Rhinolophus ferrumequinum: one gene and its partner. The protein of the gene in region 1 binds, or shares a complex with, the protein of each later gene. Links are inferred from orthologs where the notes say so. Each region holds a gene or a part of one and is shown on either strand. Other genes may lie near its edges.

The links.
Region 2: TREX1 (region 1) and nucleoside diphosphate kinase A share a complex: the UniProt entries of both Homo sapiens proteins name them as parts of the SET complex. The link is inferred for Rhinolophus ferrumequinum from reciprocal best matches to the Homo sapiens genes TREX1 and NME1.

What each region holds. Positions count from the first base shown.
Region 1 is NC_046300.1:7,625,868-7,635,570, reverse strand, and holds TREX1 (three-prime repair exonuclease 1), read left to right. Parts: upstream 1-6,538; 5' UTR 6,539-6,678; intron 6,679-6,961; 5' UTR 6,962-6,980; coding exon 6,981-7,925; 3' UTR 7,926-7,959; downstream 7,960-9,703. Other genes in the region: ATRIP (ATR-interacting protein), read left to right, coding at 171-272, 603-732, 924-1,604, 4,131-4,267, 4,404-4,495, 4,940-5,020, 5,230-5,482, 5,885-5,952; SHISA5 (protein shisa-5), read right to left, coding at 9,320-9,399, 9,484-9,696. UniProt on the Homo sapiens protein: Major cellular 3'-to-5' DNA exonuclease which digests single-stranded DNA (ssDNA) and double-stranded DNA (dsDNA) with mismatched 3' termini. Prevents cell-intrinsic initiation of autoimmunity.
Region 2 is NC_046304.1:32,587,520-32,597,678, reverse strand, and holds the start of nucleoside diphosphate kinase A, read left to right. Parts: upstream 1-6,279; 5' UTR 6,280-6,306; intron 6,307-7,724; 5' UTR 7,725-7,728; coding exon 7,729-7,854; intron 7,855-10,159. UniProt on the Homo sapiens protein: Major role in the synthesis of nucleoside triphosphates other than ATP. The ATP gamma phosphate is transferred to the NDP beta phosphate via a ping-pong mechanism, using a phosphorylated active-site intermediate.

The DNA of each region.
Region 1 (9,703 bases):
CTACTTTACATGAGGAAGGCAAAAGATGTGAGAGCCCTAGAGTTGCTCTGGCTCTTGTTTTGATCCAAGGTTGAAAAGGTAGAACAATCTCTGTCTTAAACTTGTTACAGTTAAGAGTTTCTGATATGGCTATGCTTTTGTGCTCAGGTTTTGATTCACATTTTACCTAGTTTCAGAGAATAAGGCCCTCAGTCTGGGAGGTGCCCCCGGAAAGCAAGAAGAGTCCCAAAAATATGTTGTTGACAGCTGGATGCAAAGATCAAACACTCAAGGTACCAGAATCCCCACTCCTCGTGCAGAAAGCCTGCTGGCTCCGGTGGGCCTCTGCCATGCTGCAGTCGGGGAACCATCTGGGTCTCTGAGGACAGTGGTCAGAGGGTCCAGGGAAGTCGTAGTTGTGACTTAAGCAGAAGACTTTAAAATGGAGGGGGCCAAGAGCAGGTGTGTCACAGAGCCTTCGGCACCCGTAGGTGCCTGTCTCAGTGGGGCGTAGTGGCAGCTTAGAGGACAGTTGGCATCCAAGGAATCCCCCCTTTTTCCTTCTGAGGCCATAGAAAAGGCCTCCCATGTCAGAACTTCTAGAGTCACCTTGTTTTCTGCAGGTTCCATTTTGATAAACCTTCTCCTGAAGCAGCCTCTGATCCCAGGCTCATCCCTAGGTCTGTGCCACCTCCTGAGCAGTTGTTCCGAGGCTCCTCCCAGCACCCTGTTGCAGCCACTGGGGTTGGGCAGGTAAGCATAAGACTCCTTCAAAAAACTTTCAGAAAGAAGCTTCCAGGAAGCAAGTCCCTTTCTGGCCTTGGCCAGCCTGGGAGGCCGGTGCGCTGGGCAGGGGAGCTAGAGAGTTTGGCAGGCAGGTTGTTTGGGGCCCTTGACCTTATCTCCGTCTCACACTGTGTGTTTTCTTTTGTGTTTGTTGCTAGTTCCTTGCCTGGGATTTCAAGCCTGAGGACCACAGTTTCTCAAGATGGGTCATGTCCCCTCTCGGCCCTTAGAGAAGCACAGAACCTGGCATTTACTGGACTGAATCTGATTGCCAGGAATGAAGGCTCATGTGACAGAGACCCAGCCGAGGGAGGCAGCAGGGCCTTCCCGCTCTGCCAGCTCCCTGGAGCTGTGCACCTCCTCCCCCTGGTACAGTTCTTTATCAGCTTACACTGCCAGGCTTTGCAGGATTTGGCAGTAGCCAAGAGAAGTGGGGAGCCTGGGGACACACCGACACATTCCTCCCGCAGGAGCTCTGGGGTAGATACCAGCCCCGAGGACTCACTTTGCAAGCTGGAAGGCTTCTCCGTGGCTTCGCTCAGCCTTCTTCAGCACCTGGTGTGCCACAGCGGAGCAGTCACCTGCCTGTTACTGTCACAAGCCGGAGCGGATTCCGCTGCTGGGGACGGAAACCAGAGCCTAGACTCCCATGGGGACGCGAGCCCTGCCCCAGGGGGGCTTGCTGGTGACCAAGGCCAGCATCCACTATTGAAGATGCTTCTTCGCCTCTTGGCTTTCTCTTCTGCAGCAACAAATCACCTTCACGCCAATGTCGTCAGCCAGTGCCTTAAGGTTTTGGTGAAATTAGCTGAAAACGCTTCCTATGATTGCTTGCCCAGGTATACTGCAGCATGGGAGTCATGATTGTGTGTGGGCCTTACCCGACCTCTTGAGGTTTATCCTGTGGCCCTTGTATTTTGCTCGTCTCTTGACTTACCTATACTGTTCAGTGCTAAGCCTTGGTTTAGGTTGTAAAGCTTTGTTCAGGGAGTTCTGAAGTGAGAACCAAGGAAGTGGTTTATTTGGCTTAATTCTGCCTCTGTACAGCTGGTAAGCAAAAGACACACAAGAGAAAAGAGAGCAGTTAGCCACAAGGGAAGAGTGTCCTGCCCCCGGGACAGACAAAGGCTATACCAAGAGGCCTTTGAACCTGGGACGTGGATCAGGTGAAGCCCACGTGTCACAGCCACGTTTAAGTTTGGTGGGGTTCTCAAAGGAGGGCGTGGGGAGGGTGTGCAGCGCACAAGGAATCTGCCTGTCATTGTGCCCACCTCTGGCAGGAGCCACCGGTTCCTTGCTCCACTTAAGGTTTCCTGGAAGTGGGAGGACAGTGAACCTAGCTCATGAACACTGTTGTCATAAATTCCAAACTTGAGGTTCCAGAGCCTCAAGACTGGAAGAAACTAAACACCATGCAGCCCATCGCCTCATCCACTAACCCCACCGCCCCCTCTGCTTCACCAAACAGGCCAGTTCCTGTCTCGAAATGACTCTGCTGACTGCCCGTAACTTTTCACCTCTGAGTTCAGATACCTGTTTCTAAAAATACTCCCAGATCCTGGTTTTCATCTGAATCTATTCTAGCTGGTCTGGTCTATGAGAGCCGGACCCGGTACCACAGAGAGTGCGGGCAGCACGGTAGGCGCAAACCATCGCCCGGGTGCCTGGCAGGGGCCCAGCTCAGTGGCTGGTTGCTTATTTCATATTTATTAAATGAATGAATACCAGGAACCACATTTTTACCACTTCTCTTGGTAGAAACACCATCATTCCATTCCTGTTCAACTTGTCCACAGGACATCAAAACACAGCCATTCAGTGGGTGTTCACCAAGGCCGGACACATGCCTTCCATTCACTAGCTCGTGCGACCCCTCGGAGCCCTGCATCTTCACACTAGCACAGAGCCTGGCTCACTGAGCACTGTGTTTGTTGAGTGAATAAGCCCTGTGTTGAGGTAGGAAAAGTTCTCAGATCCCAGAGGGAGCACGCTGGATGGGTTTCAAACCAAAGAGGCTCCTGAGCCATGGCCCCTCATCACGTCTGATACCACCTCCCACTTTGTGCTTCTCTTCGAAATTCCTTTACGCTTGCAAGCTGAACCCCACTACCGCACAGCTTCCTGTCCACCTTGGCGTGAAAGCTAGGGACGAGTGCCACCAAGGCTCTAAGCCAGCACGCAGTGCAGGCAGGCTGTGCCTCCACAGGCACGCTTGCCCCACCGGGCCTGAGGGCAGCCTCACCCCTGTCTTCCTACAGCATCTCTTGTAGACATAGGTCCAGGGTTGTCGCCCAGGTACTAGGATGGCAGGGGCTTTGGGGCAAATGGGTCTTATCCCCAACTTCAACCATGACTTACCTATTGAGCAGCATGACTTACCTATTGTGCGTTGGGGGGTGCTGCGAAAAAATTCATCTAAAAAGAAAGCTCTGATGCTATCAAAACAATTTGGAAACCTCTGTGTTGTATATGAAGATGGATTCTTCATGCAGATAGTTTCAAGGCCTTTAGTGGACTGGTTAGGAGCCACTTATAACAACCAGGTTGAATTCCAGTTTCCCACCAAGTCCCGCTCTCCTGGCGACGGAAAACATTCAGCTTCTTGTCTGCCATACAGGAATTTGCTCTAAAATGAGTTCACCCCCAATAGTGAGACCTTGCGTCCTAGTGGCATCCTGAGGAATATTCTTAACCCTCGATGCTGTGCGCCAAGACACTGCAGGTGCGTGAAGGTGAAGGGGGACATGCGCAGAGTTGTCCCTGCCCCCCCATGAGGCGGTGTAGGTCGGACAAACATCAGTGGTTGTCTTGGGACTTGGTAATAGCTGCCCCTGTGCCCTGAGACTTGGGGGAGAGTGTGCCCACTCCAAGTGGGTACCTTCTCATACTTGGTGGCAGAGAAGCTGCTGTTCTTATGTACAAGTGGAGAAAATGGGCTTCCTTTCTTGGCGAGTGGTCTCATAAGATCCAACCATACCGAGTCCACATTTATCACTTCTGGAGCCTGGCCAGTCCTTTGGTGGTGGGCACAGGACACTTCTCTCACCCAAGACCTGCCTCCCTCTTTGGGAGCAGAAGCAGGAAAGCTCAGGAGCAGTGTGGAGGCCAGACATCCCGGGTCCAAGGAGGCAACCCCCATTTACTGGGTGTTACTGTGCCAGGTGAGGGCCTATCTCTAAGCCACAGTGAAGGGTAGCACCCACTCATTCGCGTGAAAGTAGGTGGTCGTCGGCTGGCACTGGAATGCAGGTCTATCTGGACCACATCTCTGTACTGGCCTGAATTCCTGTTCCTCCAGTGAAAAGGGAGGGTGAATGTGGGACTGGGTGGGAATTGTCATGTCCCTCTGGGCCCCTGTGTTGTAGGTTCCAGTGTGTCTTCCCGGTGCTGCCGCCGTGCCTCAGCCCAGAGGCTCCCCTGCCCAGCGTGCTGCTGACAGTGGGGCTCCTGTCCCTGCTCGTGGACCACGAGAAGCTCGCGTCTCAGCTCTGCTCCCACTCAGGTAAAGTGGGCAGGGCGGGCGTCTGGACTCCTGCAGGGTGGAGGGAAGGGTGGCAGCAGGGACGGGGGCTTCTGCAGCTGGTGCTGGCTCTGGGTGAGAAGCCGGGCCCTGAGTGAGAGCTGGGCATTCTTTTCAGACGGCTGTCTCCTCCTGCTGTTATACACGTACATCACGTCAAGGCCTGACAAAGTGGCCTCGGACACACAGTGGCTTCAACTAGAGCAAGAGGTAAAAATGCCAGAGCCCCTTCTGTGGACTGTTCCCCACCCCCTCACCCTAAGAGCCATTTGCCCTCCTTCCTCTGGAGAGAGGGAGCTTTAATTCATTTTGGTAGCTTATCTAGCCACTAACAAGGTAAACTCATTTCGGGGGGCTCCACACCACACAGCTACAAAACAGTAGAGCCCAGGGTTTCTTGGCACTTGGCAGGGTTGCCTGATAACTGGTCCTACCCTGACCTTGGAGCCTGGTAGCTGCAGATGGGCCTGGAGGCACGTGGGTTGTTGGTGAGACACGGGTGTTGGTGCAGAGATTGGTCTGGGAAGGACCCCATTTGTGCAGACCAGCAGTTACTAAGGCCACTGGAGCTCTTGTAGGAGCCTGAGAAAGGCCTCGCTGCGATGTGTGAGGGTCTTGTTCTGCCACGGATGGAACAGTCTGCTCTTGTTCTAGGCCGTGTGGCTCCTGGCTAAGCTCGGTGTGCAGAGCCCCTCCTCCCCTATCACCGGCTCCAACTGCCAGTGCAACGTGGAGGTGAGTGCCCGAGGCAGGCAGGGGGCACAGCAGGGCAGCTCTGCTGGTGGCTGAGGCGAGGCGGTCCTGTGCAGGGCCCCGTGCCGCTTCTAGCCCTGGTGCCACCACTCAGAGCCCTCCTCACCTGGGGGACAGGGGAAGCTACTGCCCAGCCGAGCAAGTCATTAGGGTGCAGGAACTGCAAGCCTGACCTCAGTCTGCACCCCCAGGTGGTCAGAGCGCTCACAGCGATGCTACATAGACAGTGGCTGACAGTGCGGAGGGAAGGGGGGCCCCCCAGGACTGAGCAGCAGAGGCGGACAGTGCGGTGTCTGCGGGACACGGTCCTGCTGCTGCACGGCCTGTCCCAGAAGGACACGCTGTTCACGGTGCACTGCGTGGAGGCCCTGCACCAGTACGACCAGGTGATGCCAGGGGTCAGCGTGCTGATTCGAGGGCTCCCGGACGTGACAGACTGTGAAGGTGAGCTGGCAGGAGGATCCCTCCCTGCCCTGGCCCACCTGTGGGGCTTTCCTGAAGTTCATGAAGGAGTCAGACTTCCAGGCCTTGCCAGCAGGCCTCCACCCACCACGGTCTTTGCCAGCACTGGAGTCATTCTTATCTTCCTGCTCCGGTTCTTCTCTGAGCACATCAGGCTGCCTTTTGCTCGTATCTGTTGAGTTGGCCTGGCAGAGCCACGGTTTTTCCAGAAACATCCCTGTTTGAATTGCCTTTGTATCACTGCTTGCCATAGGTGAGGGAGCAAGGCCTGGGTATGGAAGGGACTGGTTAGTTCTCGTGGGCGTGGGGGGAAGAAAGGTGGGACCTCCCGCAGCTCCAGCACCTTCAGGCCTTCCCCACAGAACCCTCTTCTGTCTCGCTCAGAGGCTGCCCTGGATGACCTCTGTGCCACTGAGACCGACGTGGATGACCCAGAAATGGACTGTGGCTGAGGCTGTGAATTGAGCCACCTGGTGGCACCAGTACCATTGTTTTCCTCACCTCGTCAACTGATTAAAAGCAGTGACTGCTGTTTAAGATCTTGCCAGCTTTGTGTTCCCTGAGTCTGATCTGTGTTGGCTGAGTGGGAGGGATGGAGCAGAAACGCGACTCAGGGAAGGCTGGGCTCCTTCCTGTCCTAGCTGGAGCTGAGACTGGTCCCCATGGTAACGAATCTGCCTAGAGGAAGGAGCCCTGCCCTGCCTGTGGAATTGTCCTGAGTCATCGCTTTGGGCAGAGGCCATGGGAAGAAAAGTATGACAAGGAAGGAGGCAGCCCTCAGCCCAGGCCTAAACCAGGGAGGACTGGGGAAGTGGGGCTAAAGGGTGGGTGCAAAATGGCCATGGCAGAGGCTCCTGACAGGCTTGAGTCCTGGAGCTGGCCTTCCCCAACAGCATGGGCACCGCGGCCGGTGTCCTGACTGGCTGTCTTGCTGCTGAGGGCCCAGCCGCACTGTGCCAGCCAGCAGGCCCACAGCTGTACGTCTGAGGCGGCCTTTGGGGAGTCACGGGTGGAGGGGGGCTGGGGAGGGACGAGGCAGGCTGACAAGCAGGGCGGGACTTGCTCACTCCAGCCCGGTGGGCGGGCTCAGACTAAGTTTCACTTCCCGCCACTGCTGCCAGCAGCGAGAACCAGCCAGTGTGCACTCCAGTCATTGCTGCTTGCCTGCCTGCCGCTTGGTAAGTGAGGACCCCCAAGGGCCTGGGGCAGGGTGGGAAGGCCATGGGTTCCACCCGCCTCTCCCCAGACTCAGCAGGCACTGGGGGGGAACAAACCCCGGACAGTTGAATGTGCTGATCGTACTAAAGAAGCCATCCCACCCTCTGGCTTCCTGCCTTGAAAATGGGTCCTGGAGCTCGCGACAGTGCCTGCCTCCCCTCTCCTCCCCGCCCCTCCCCTCCTCTCCTTCAATCTCACCACTGGGGCACTCACACCCACTCCCCACCCTGTGCTCCTCCCCAGCTCAGCAGTAGACACCCACATGGCCTCGCAGGCCCTGCCCCAGGGGCCCATGCAGACCCTCATCTTCTTGGACCTGGAGGCCACTGGACTTCCCTTCTCCCAGCCCAAGATCACGGAGCTGTGCCTGCTGGCTGTCCACAGATGTGCCCTGGAGAGCCCTCCCAGCCCTCAGGGGCCTCCTCCCATGGTGCCCCCACCACCCCGCGTGGTGGACAAGCTCTCCCTCTGTGTGGCCCCAGGGAAGGCCTGTAGCCCCGCAGCCAGCGAGATCACAGGCCTGAGCACAGCTGTGCTGGCAGCGCACCGGCGTCAACACTTCAATGCAGACCTGGTCAACCTGCTCCGCGCCTTCCTGCAGCGCCAGCCACAGCCCTGGTGCCTCGTGGCACACAACGGTGACCGCTACGACTTCCCCCTGCTGCAGGCGGAGTTGGCCATGCTGGGCCTCTCCAGGGCTCTGGACGACGTCTTCTGTGTGGACAGCATCGCCGCCCTGAAGGCCGTAGAGCAGACTGGCAGCACCCCCGAGCATGGCCCGAGGAGGAGCTACAGCCTGGGCAGCATCTACACACGCCTGTACGGGCAGGTCCCACTGGACTCGCACACGGCCGAGGGCGACGTCCTAGCCCTGCTCAGCATCTGTCAGTGGAGGCCGCGCGCCCTGCTGCAGTGGGTGGACGCTCACGCCAGGCCCTTCAGCACCGTCAAGCCAATGTACGGGGTCACAGCCTTTACTGGAACCCACTCAAGGCCACCTGCTGCCACAGCCACTACCCTTCTGGCCAGAGGCGGAGACTCCATTCCCAACCTCGGGGGGAGCAGGAGGCCCAAGGTCCTACCTACAGCGAAGGGCCCTGAAGCCGCACCCAGGGAGGGCCTGCTGGCCCCACTGGGCCTGCTGGCCTTCCTCAGCGTGGCAATAGCCACCCTGTACGGGCTGTCCCTGGCCACACCTGGGCAATAGGACGAGAAAGAACGTCTGATGAATAAAGACCCCGACAGCACTGTGGTCCCTCGCCTCTACCTTCCTGGGCAGCTTTGCAGCCGCCTGCACCTCTGCCTGCTCTCGGGCCATGGAGGGGGCACCGAGGGCGGTGCGGTCTTTGTCCTTCACCCTCCCCAGCAGGATGGTCAGACGTCTGAGCCCAACACAAGCAGGGAAAACAGGGAAATCCAAGTGCTGGATGGAAATGGTACCTGGCCTCCTACCCAATGCCTGCAGCCAAGGCTCTGAAGAAAGGGGGCAGCAGTTCCAAATGTCCGCGTTTATTATAAACAAGGGTGCAGACCCCGACTCTCAGAAACATATCAACAGGCACAAAGCTAAGACAGATGGTGAGACAGAAACAGGGACAGGGAACCCCGAGGTATTCATGTCCGGGCCCACAGCCACCCAAGGCCCCCTCCACTTTGGTCCCTTTGCTCCAGACAGTCCACTGGCCCAGGTGTCCCCACGGCCAGGACAAACTGTGGCCGGGGGTACAGGACCTGGATATTCTGTGGGGCTGGTGTGGGGAAAGCAGGGGCTACAGAGGTCGGGGTCCCTCTCTGCCGGGACCCAGGGGTTTCAGCCTCATAGAAACGATCACATTTTGAAACAGAAAACAGGCCAAATGTTTGGCTAAAAGTAAAACAAAAACACGGCAGGAAGGACACCTGAGTGTGTAGGTAGGTGGACAGAGGCTACCCTGCCCACCGCTGGCGGGGGCCGGGGCCAGCCAGGGTACCCAGAACCGTGGGTGGAAGTGGTCCTCCAGGTGGTCCCTGGGAAGTTGCAGGAACAGTCCAGGCAGACAGCTGTCAGGGTGGGTGGGGCTCTGCCTTAGGTGTTTGGATATCAAAAGGCTGCCCACCCTCCACTGGCCATGGCACAGGCTCCAGGGGCTATGGGATCAAAACCCAACTTAGACAGGTCCCAAACCTCACCCACTTGCCTGAATCACAGCTCTGGTTCTTCGAAGGGAAGCACACAGCCTGGGGACAAGCTGTGGCCTCGAGCAGCGGCCAGCCATCCCGCTGAAACCAGAACATGCGTGTATCTTGCCCAGAAAAAAGCAGTGCGATCCTAATGTGACAAGCCCCACCTGGTCTCCCTGGGGTGGTCTGGAAAAGAACTCCCACCTCATGCTTTGAATTTGCTTGAGATTTCAAGGAAGCATAATTTCAAGTGAGGAAGAGAAAAAGGTATGGTCCCAGTAACTGGTACGGACTGTCCCACCTGTCAGCACCACCAGAAGCCTTATGTACAAACAGGACACGCACACATCCTGCACGGGAGAAAAAGACCATGCCCGCATCCCCAATCACACGCACATACACACAGAGTATCAAGTGGCAGCCAGAGATGCAGGGCCATTCTCAGTGGGCGGCCTTCGGGGGGTCCATATAGGCTGGGTTGTAAGGAGGCTGGCTGGCAGAGTAGGGCATGGCTGCACCTCCTGAAAATAGAGAGGACACTGGTTGGCTGTGGGTACAGCAGGGTCTTTGGGGTTAGGCAGAGTCAGAGTTGGCAGTGTACTCACCAGACAATGTCTCGTGGTAGGCAGGCGGGCCCATGGGCTGGGCCGGGTAGGGTGGTGGGTACTGTGTCGGGTAGGGTCCTGCCGCCAGCCCTGGCTGGGGGGGCATGGGGTGGTAGCCCTGGTACGACGGCCCAGGGTAGCTGGGTGGCACACTTGGAGGCTGAGGGTAAGGGGCGTGCACCACGGTGGTGGACGTGGTGGTGGTCACGACCGCTGGAAA
Region 2 (10,159 bases), on another chromosome or scaffold:
GTCTTTTCCTCTGGCCTGTATTAAACTGTCTTAGGGAGATACTGGACCTGTCTTCCAGATGATTTGCTCAACCAGCTTTTATTCCTTCAGTATTTCCCCTGTCTTCCTTACTTCACCTCATTCCAGAGAAAAAGTGTTTCTTGCTCTTACTAACTCCAATTTTAATTACAGAAAGTTCAGGGGGGTCTTTCCAGACCACTCTCAGCTGGATAGCTCCTGGAAAATGACTAGATGGAAAACTAAGCATGAAGACCAGAGAGAAAACTTTCCAAACTGTGAGGCATGCCAGTCAAAGGACAAAGGCAAGGTCATCTAGCAGGAGGTAAAACACCCCAAAGAACAAGAATCAGATTAAACTCTCATTTGTGGGGTTAGAGGTGGAAGGTTAAAGTCCACGGTACAAGTGGATGGGCTGTGACTAGACAGGGAAAGGAAGAAAGATTACAGGCGAGGATACATTAACGAGAAGAAGCAAAGACATTTCCTGCTCATAGAATGCCACCTGCTCCTCCATACTTCCTAGCTCCCTTAGAGTTACAAGGCCATGTGACGAGTTCTGGTCAATGGGTTGAAAGGAGCAGTGATACGCATCTCCTCCAGGCCAAACCAATCATTTAAGAGATACCACATGACTCTCCAGCTCTCTCCTGTTGTGGTGTGCAGAGGTTTTGTAGGGATGGCAGAGCCACATGTTAGAAAGAACTAGGTTCTCACATTGACTGCAGGTGGGGAACTAACTGTAGTGGTACTGGCCGTTCAGCAGACTTCGGGTGAGTAAGTTTGGTTTTGTTCAGTGCAATGGACTGAATGTTTATGTACCCCCCAAATTCATACGTTGAAATCCTTTAGGAGGTAGGACCTTTGGGAGGTGATTGGGTCAACAGGGTGAAGCTCTCATGAATGGCGTTGGTATCCTGATAAAAAAGAACTCAGAGAAATCCCTTTCCATTTCCACCACGTGAGGTTACAGTGAGAGGACTGCTGTCAGTGAGGAAGGGGATTCTCATCAGGCACCGAATCTGTCAGCAGCATGATCTTGGACTTCTCAGTCTCCAGAACCACGAGAGAGAAATCAATGTTTGTTGTTTATGTGGACAAAAAAGGGGTTCTTTGGAGAGTAACCTCACAGGGTGATCTGATCCTAAATTCCTAACTGGGCAGGTTATGGTGGGTAGTCAGGCCCCAGGCCTACAACTTCTTTAGTGAAAGGTTTTAAGCCAGCCCTGTCCATTCTTCTTGTGCCTTTAGGTTAACACACCTTTGAAGTGCCAGAAGTGATACCCCTTGAAGGAGGTATTAATCCTCAAGAGAGCACATGATCTTGTTAGCTATCCTGTAATCCAACCCCTGTCTTGCTTTCTCCCACCTCCATGTACATTCCCTCCTTAATTTCAAATGCATAAAAGAAGCTGTAAAACTGTTATTCTCTGGAGCATATGAGATCTTGTTTCCTCACAATTGTCATCCGTTTGGGGTCAAACTCTTATAAAAATTCTCTACAGGTTTGGGCATTCTTACGTGGACAATTTATAAGCTACCTAGTGTGCGTTTTGTTGTTGTTGTTGTTGTTATAGCAACCAAAATGGACTAAGACATCAAGCCATTGAGACTTGGGAATATTTTTTTTTTTTTGTCTGCAGCACAACCTAGCCTATCCTAACTAATAGAAAAGGCACTACAATCATAGTATTATATAAATTGCATATTAGGTGACACTCAACCCCAATCTGGGGAGGCTGAAAGGAGGAAGGAGAAATTTGCTGAACCAGTCTAGTATCATAATCATCATCAGTGAAGACAAAAGATACTGGGCCCACGTCAAAGACACCCAGCAGGGGTCCTGGAGAGTCAAACCACATGAAAGCAAGAGGGAGATTAATGCTAAATCCCTGCTCTCAGCATTGAGCCTCTTCAGCCACTTTCCCTTGAGAGTTTTAGCCTGAAAGATTACACCAGAGTCACGGCAAAGGGAGAAACTGTTATAGGCAAAGAGCCCATGTTTTTGCTGAAGACTTTATTATACCTAAACTTAGAAAGTAGAAACAAGAGGAGGGTTGTAAGAAAATATAAACATAAATGGGATTGAAGAGTTTAAGGAGAAAAGATCAACGGTATCAGTGTCATTGTTCATAGACAAGAAAACATAAGGGTGTCAAAAGAAGGCAGTATCACTGAATAGGAAGAAAAAAGATGACTGATGTAATTTGGGCTGGAATGATGTGATTTTTAAGGTCTCACTGGGCCAGGGAAGTCTAAAATCTCTGAGGACATCACAGTCTATGGTAGTTAAACATTAAGCTCTGGAGCAAAAGTCAGATGGATTCACAGTCAGGCTCTGCCACTTAACTAGTTTTGTGGCCTTGGGTAAGTTATTTAACCTTTCTGTGCCTCGGTTTCCCATTCTAAAATAGGAATTAGAATAGTGTCCACCTCATATGGTTGTTGCACCAAACTATGCGAGGAGTCTCTCAGGACTGCCTTCCCCAGTCAGCAAATAATGTGGGTTTCCCCAAAAACTCCCTCTCGGGCCTTCCATCAGGGATCAGGGCCTCACTAAGAAGATTGAGGAGGTAGTTTCCATATGTATAGTCTAGAGCCAGAAGCAGACAGATGAGCTGGGTATCTTTTTTGTGAAACAGGCAATTACCTTCACCAAATGATCCTGCTGTTTGATTTGTAGTTTGACTCTGGAGTCAAAGGTGAGAGGGTTCATACTTCATTCTTGATTATGGTCCATGAGGATTCCCTGGGGGCTCATTTCCAATTACTGTTATTAATGTTCTTTCTTTGCCCTGCATCCCAAGATGTCTTTCTGTTTCTCACACGTGGGCATAATGCATTAGTTGCTCTGATTCCTTAAATCATTAATAAGAGGACAGTCATGCCCTGAATCAATTCTATTCTTTGTATAGTATTAGAGCTAGCTGTCTCTAATTATGGTCTCAGATTATGATTTCTTCGCGCGCCATAGGTATCCTCCCCATGGAAGTAAGACCTAGGAATAAAGCTTTGTGCATAGTTCAGCAGCACACACGTGGTTTAGAGCTCAGGCTCACGTTGACCGTGCACGGACGGGCTTTATATACTGGTTCTACCTTTTCCAGCTGTCTGAACTTGGGCAAGTTACTGACCCTGAATGAGCCTCAGTTTCCCCACCTAAAAATGTGGATAACAGTATTTACCACATTAAGTTGATATATGGATTAAACAAGTTACTGTAAGTAAAGCACTTTGTACGTGGCACAGGACAATCTTTCAATAAACATATTATTATTCATTTCTGCATAACAAATGAATGGTAATTACTGCTTTTAAAATAATTTTTATACCCACAGATCACTTTTATGCAGATAATTCCCATAGGTCTCTCCTTAGGCCTAGCATTTCTTCTGAACCCCAGAGAAGTATCTTCAATTGATTACTGCATATTTTCTCTTTTGTATCACCCTCCATCAGATTCAACATTACACCATACTCCTCTTTCTCTAGCTGGCTCCCTCTGGTCTTTCCTATTTCTGTTAATATCGTTAATTGTCAGTTTCTTAGGTATAAAATTTTATCACCCATAGCTATAAAAAAAAAAACCCAGCTGACATTTATTATTTACTACGTGCCTGACACTGTGTTAAATTTTCATTGAATTATTTTATATAATCCTCACAATAATCTTATGATTTGGTGACTGTTAGTACTCCCATTTAGCAAACATAGAAACTGAGGCTTTGTGATGTTGAGTAACTTGTCCAAGGTCACATAACTAATAAGTGACTGAGCCAAGAATCAACGCCCATTTTCTGAAAACAGAGCCATGCTCTTTTAAGCACTACCGCTGTTATGATACAGTTCCTCTCCATCCCTTTTTGATGATATCTAATCACCTCCCAAATCTTGTCAGTTTATCCTGGGAATTCTATGATAAACATTCCTTTGACCACTTTAATTCAGAGGAGGTGGTATCTGTCCTCATACCTTGATCCGCCTAATGGGTCTCTGCTTCCAGCCTCTCCCTGTCCCATCTATCCTTCAGATTATAATGAAATTCTTCACCGTCTAAAACAAAGCTCTCCCCATGTACCACTGTAATCTTGAACAAATTGGGCCATCTCTTTTGGTCTGTTAGTATCTCTGTAAAGTGAGTGAATTAGATGGCTTCAATAAATGAGTTCAAAATGTTTCTCATGTCACTGTCCTACGCCTCAAACTTCAATGACTTTCCATTAACTATAGTTGAAAGTCTCAACTTTATGGACTAGCATTTAAAGCTTGTCACTAATCTGGTGGTCTTTTCCCCACTGGTCCAGAGCATTCTTTTAGGAGTCTAATCAGTTTCTCATTTTCTACTTTTCCCTGCTTGCTTTCCATCCTTTGCTTTTGCTATTTTCCTGATCCCCTGATACCTACAGACTTATCTATTTACCTCTTCTTTTTGTGTATCCAAATGCTACCTCCTCTATAAAATCTTCCCCCTACTTTATTCAGGCATCCCAGTGACCACTCTTCCTTGCTCTACAATAATTGATATCTTAGCACAGTTCACTAAACATTACTCCTATTATTATTTTTTTGGGGTGAATACATTTGATTAGCAGTTTTGTTTGTTTGTTTTTAGCAAGGGGTGGGTGGAAGGCCAGTGATTTGATGTTTTAGGTAGTGATATCCCATTCTTAGAGGTTTCAAGCAGAGGCAGAAATCCCTTGCAAGGATTTCTGGAGAGGGGATTGGTCCATATGCCCATTAAAATTACTTTTAGTACTAAATTCTTATTGTTCTCTGATTTGTTTTGCAGAAACATTTACCTTTGGAAGCCTGGAGGGCTGTGTGTAGGGTTGGGAAAGGAAGGTTAGGGTGGAGTCATGGAATTAGGATGGCTTCCAAGAGAGATGAGACTGTCCTGTTTTCTACTGCCCAACCCACTTCTCTCGCATCTGTCTGGGCAAGACCTTACTTCCCTACCTAATAAGGCTTAAATCATCCTGGCTCAAGGTCTTGAAGACTATTAATCAATAGCATTGAAATCATCAAACTGTTAGGCTCCATCCCAGACCTACTGAATCAGAATCTGTATTTTATGTGACTTGTTTGTACATAGAAGTTTTAAAACCACTGTACAGGGGGCCTCAACCACTAAAAAGGAGCTTTGTAGATAATTCTATTGAACTGATATTAACAAACTCCGAGAGAGAGAGAGAGAGAGAGAGAGAGAGAGAGAGAGAGAGAGAGAGAGAGAGAGAGAGAGAAAGGAGGAAAGAAAGAAGACAAAGAAGGGAGGGAGGGAGAGTGGGAGGAAGGAAGGAAAGAAAGAACTCTTAGTTTTACATTTGACATTTAAATCTATGATCCATTTTGAGTAAATTTTTGTTTAAAGTGGGAGGTTAGGCAGAGGTTCTTTTTTTTCTCTTTTTCAGTAGATGTTCAATTGCTCAGCACCATTTATCGAAAAGGCTCCTGATTCTACTTTGTACCTTACCCCCCCCTCATTCCTCCTACAGCAGTCAGAATGATTAAAAGAAAAGTGTATCAGATTATGTCATGCCTTGTTCAAAACTCTGCAATGGCTTCCCATCGCAGCATAATCTGGCCCTCCTCCCCAGTGGCATTTTCTACCAATGGATCCCCACTATAATGCGCTCAGATAACCACTGGACTTCCTCCCTCACTTCACGCATGTCTATTCTAGTACTGTCACCTCCTCGCAGAGATTTCTTCAACCAACTTTTTAAAACAGTTTACTCTCTCAATCTTTCTCCCTGCCCTGCTTTTCTTAACAGCACTTACATAATGCCATATACATTTGTTTATAGTTTGCCCCCATTCCCAACCCCACCAGAAGCTCCAAGAGAGTTTACTGCTATACCCTCAGGCCCTAGAATAGTGCCTGGCACACAGTAAGTACTCAGTATTTATTGCTTGACAGGTTGGAATGAATACATAAATGTAAAGCAAGAGAGACTTGTCTACCTCTAGATCGGGCGCTCGTTCAGACTTCATGCAACGTGTGAGCGCCACCTCCCGGGAAGCCAATTTGTTCCAGAACGAAGGTTAGTCACAGAATCAAAAAAAAAAAAAAAAAAAAAAAAGATGGTTGCAGCCCGCCGGAAGAGAAAAAAAAGCACTAACGGAAGTTCAACATCTAAAATGACACCCGATTCACAGGAGGAAGCGGGGCGAATGGGTGTTCTGCAACTCCGCCGCCGGTCTGGGCAGAAGGGTTCCGCGCGTGCGAGTGCCAGGAACCACGTGGGACCAGGGAGTGTTTCCGGTGCCGGCGACAGAGCTACTACTGCAGTAGCTCAAGCAGCTGGAGGGGTGAGAAGATTTCGGGGTCCTACGAGGAAAGGGGAGAGCAGTGGGGTCAGAGGAGCGGGGAGGTGAAGGGATCGTATGAGTTCCTATCTGAGAGGTGGCGAAGGGGATTGAAAGGGAGGGAAGGACCGGGGAGCGCCACTCGACAGGTACAAACTTGTCAGCGCACGTCTCACGCCACGTGGACTCGCCTTTGTCCGTGGCTGCCTTTCCCATCTGGCCGCGACGACAGGGGTCGTGCCTTATTTGTATATGTCAAGTGCAGTGCTGGGTACGGAGTTGGCGCTCCGTATGGGCTTGCAGAATGAATGACAGCTGTGTGTCAGGGTGGCTGTGGAGGGACATTTATAGGGGCTGTTTCTGGCTCTTTAGCCCCATTTTCTCCTGGTGAATCCATGCTTGTCTCGAGCTTCCAGCGGGAGTTCTCCACTAGTCCTAGTCTCTTTTTCTTGGAGGGTGATTACCAAAGATATTTTCTTTGCTCTTGCTGACTGCTAGGTGCTAGGGACGGACACATCCCTGTATAATGGCAGCAGACCAGTGGGGAAACAGACACACAAACGTAAAATTCAAATATATTGTGAAGGTGCTGAAATAAGTTAATTAAAGTACAGGAAGATAGAGCCAGGGGGTAGTGCTGCTACCCACATTAGGCATTGTCTTTCAAGGTAAGGGGTCTCCTGCTTTCTCATCTTGTGGTGGCAGAGCAGGTCTTTAGCTTAGTCATCTCTGTAAAAAGAACGATCTGCAATAGATGTTTTCTAGGCTTCCAGCGCAATGTCCCATATCAGATATTACTAATGGCTCTAATTCTCCCACAATCCACAGTTTATTGGTTAGAGTATTCATTACATCTTACGATGTAGCATAAATTGCATAGGGCTGGGAAATCTGGATTTTGGCCCTCATTCTGGTGCTCTAGATCTGTTTCCTCATTTGTAAAATGATGGGGATTGTAATAAAATAATCTGTAAAATTGCTTCCACTCCTAATATCATGATATGTATGGCAGTAGGTCAAACCACATTTCATACTGCCTTGTACCAGATGTCACTTTCACATTATCTGTGTAGTTTTCCTCATCTGGATAATTGAGAAAGATAGCGTCTTTTTTTGTTTTTGTTTTTTTTTAAGTCCCTTACCTTAGTTCTTTCACAGTGTTGGGTATACGGTAGATGCTTGATAGAAGCTTATTAAATCAAATGGGGTAGAAATTATAACCCCTGCTTTTGGACTCCTCTTCACTCTGGAATATTAGTTCATACATGAGGAGACTGGGGAGGAATTGGGTTTTTACTGGAGAGACTTGGAGCTGACATGACAGATTTAAACCGGATTTATGGGGGTAATCTGCTTGAGAAAGATAATGACGTAGGCAGGATGTTCAGCGCTGTTTCATCCCGCCACCTGTCTATCTCCAGGACCATGGCCAACACTGAGCGCACATTCATTGCCATCAAGCCCGATGGGGTCCAGCGCCAGCTCGTGGGAGAGATCATCAAGCGTTTTGAACAGAAGGGATTCCGCCTTGTTGCTATGAAATTCATGCAGGTTAGTGGCCTTCATTCTTACTACTCGTTTTTTCTATTTTTTCGTAGTATAAGGGGACGTTGTAGGTTAGCCTCTCTGTTTCTCCCCTACCATCCTTTTTAGACTTTTCCATGTAGGGTGAACACAAATGCCTTGAAACCTGGAAACTCCTTGGTGGCCTAGTATCATGGCTGAGTCTTGGAACAAACCAAGTTATTTGGGACTTTAGGAAATAGCTTCCCGCTTCCTTTAGCAGAGTTCCACATTTACTGCAGTGCTGTGATTTCTGACTCAAAGCTCTGAGCATGTTTGAGCTCTGCTCTTGAGCTCCCTGAGCAGATAACTTTAGAAAACTCCCTCCCCCCCCCACTTTGAGGAAAGTTGTTTTCACCACGGAAATCTTTCCATCATCATTTACTACCCCCTTAGTGTCTAGCATGTATTTGGCACTATCAGGGCGTGTGAGGGGAAACTGGTTTTGCTCTGGGGAGGCCCACCTGAAATGGGAGAGAGTAGACACTCTTGAAAGACACCTACAAAGCAATATTTCAAAAAGTGCAAAGGATTGATTGGCCAAGAACTCTTCTTCAAACAAACCTGGGAAATGAGAATTCAAATTCTCAAAGCAAATACATTAGGGGACCATCTTTTTTCTTATTAAGAGTCAACTTTGGGGGCCGGCCCGGTGGCTCAGGCGGCTGGAGCTCCATGCTCCTAACTCCGAAGGCTGCCGGTTCGATTCCCACATGGGCCAGTGGGCTCTCAACCACAAGGTTGCTGGTTCAACTCCTCGAGTCCCGTAAGGGATGGTGGGCTCCGCCCCCTGCAACTGAGATTGAACACCGCACCTTGAGCTGAGCTGCCGCTGAGCTCCTGGATGGCTCAGTTGGTTGGAGCGTGTCCTCTCAACCACAAGGTTGCTGGTTCGACTCCCCCAAGGGATGGTGGGCTGTGCCCCCTGTAACTAGAAACGGCAACTGGACCTGGAGCTGAGCTGCACCCTCCACAACTAAGACTGAAAGGACAACAACTTGACTTGGAAAAAAGGCCTGGAAGTACACACTGTTCTGCAATAAAGTCCTGTTCCCCTTCCCCAATAAAATCTTTAAAAAAAAACAAAAAAAAAGAGTCAACTTTGGACTCTCCTAGTGGATCTTAAATTTAGTTTGATTTACAATTTAGTTCCTATGTGATGCAGTTTAGAAAAACTGCTTTAATATTAAAGGGAGTAGACTGATGATAATGCTGAGTAGAGAGCCTGTTAGAATGATTAGAGCCACGTGTTTTCTGAAGAATGAGTTAGAATCTGTCACGTTGCTTGGTGGTATGTGGGAACAAATTCAGTTTGCTAGAGAGCAAACCATCTGCTTAGTGATTGCAACTCAACTTCCAAAGCAATGTTTTCCAGAGAGTCTACATATTATGTTAGGTTGGAAGGTAAGGTGAAATGAAAGTATTGTTGACGGGGCATTTACCATGTGCTGGGAACATGTGTTTTCTCATCTAGCCCTTATGACAACCCTGAGAGGTGCTTATTCCTATTCTCATGGTTGTTAGTGATGAGGAATCTGAGGCTTGGAGATGTCAAGTCATGTGCCTGAGAACACACAGTGATGCAACAGGGATTTTAATTCAGGTCTCCCTGACTCCTACATGCTTCCATTTTCTCCTTTCCACTGAGTTTCCTGACAAGAATATGGGCTTGGTGAAAAGTGGGAGGAGGGGTAGCTCCTACAAAGTTATTTGAATCTGATGTGGAGGAGAGAGGCAAGGGAAAACTTGAGGTCACCCTCCCCTCAAAAAAAAAAAAAAAAAAGCGTGGAATCTGTTTTGCCGACTCAAGATAATCAGAGCCAATTAATAGAAATAAAAGAGTGTTTTGGTAAGGGAAGATCAAGTCAGTGTGTGTTAGCAGACTACCGCTATTAGTCTTCCATTGGGATTGAAAGGGCCAGTGAGCGTGAATTGCTAACATGGAGTGATCATATGGCTGTGTAATTTTACTTTGGCAAGTGACCATCAGTGAGGGCTGAATGTTAAGATGTTCCAGATGTGCTTTTCGACAGCAAATCTCCACATTTTTATATATCACTGCAGTGTTCACTATATCTCATACAGTGTAGTACTATGGACCTGAAAAAACTAAGGGACATTGGTAGACCCTTAAAAAGCATACATGTAGTGGCAGAGAGAGAATACAGATGAGAGGAGTTAGAATTGCTAAGCAGATGGCTGGCTCTCTGGCAAACTTGATTTGTTCCCACATACTAGCCATGCAGTGTGAGACATTATAATTAATTCTTCAGCAAAGTTATTTATTGCTAGG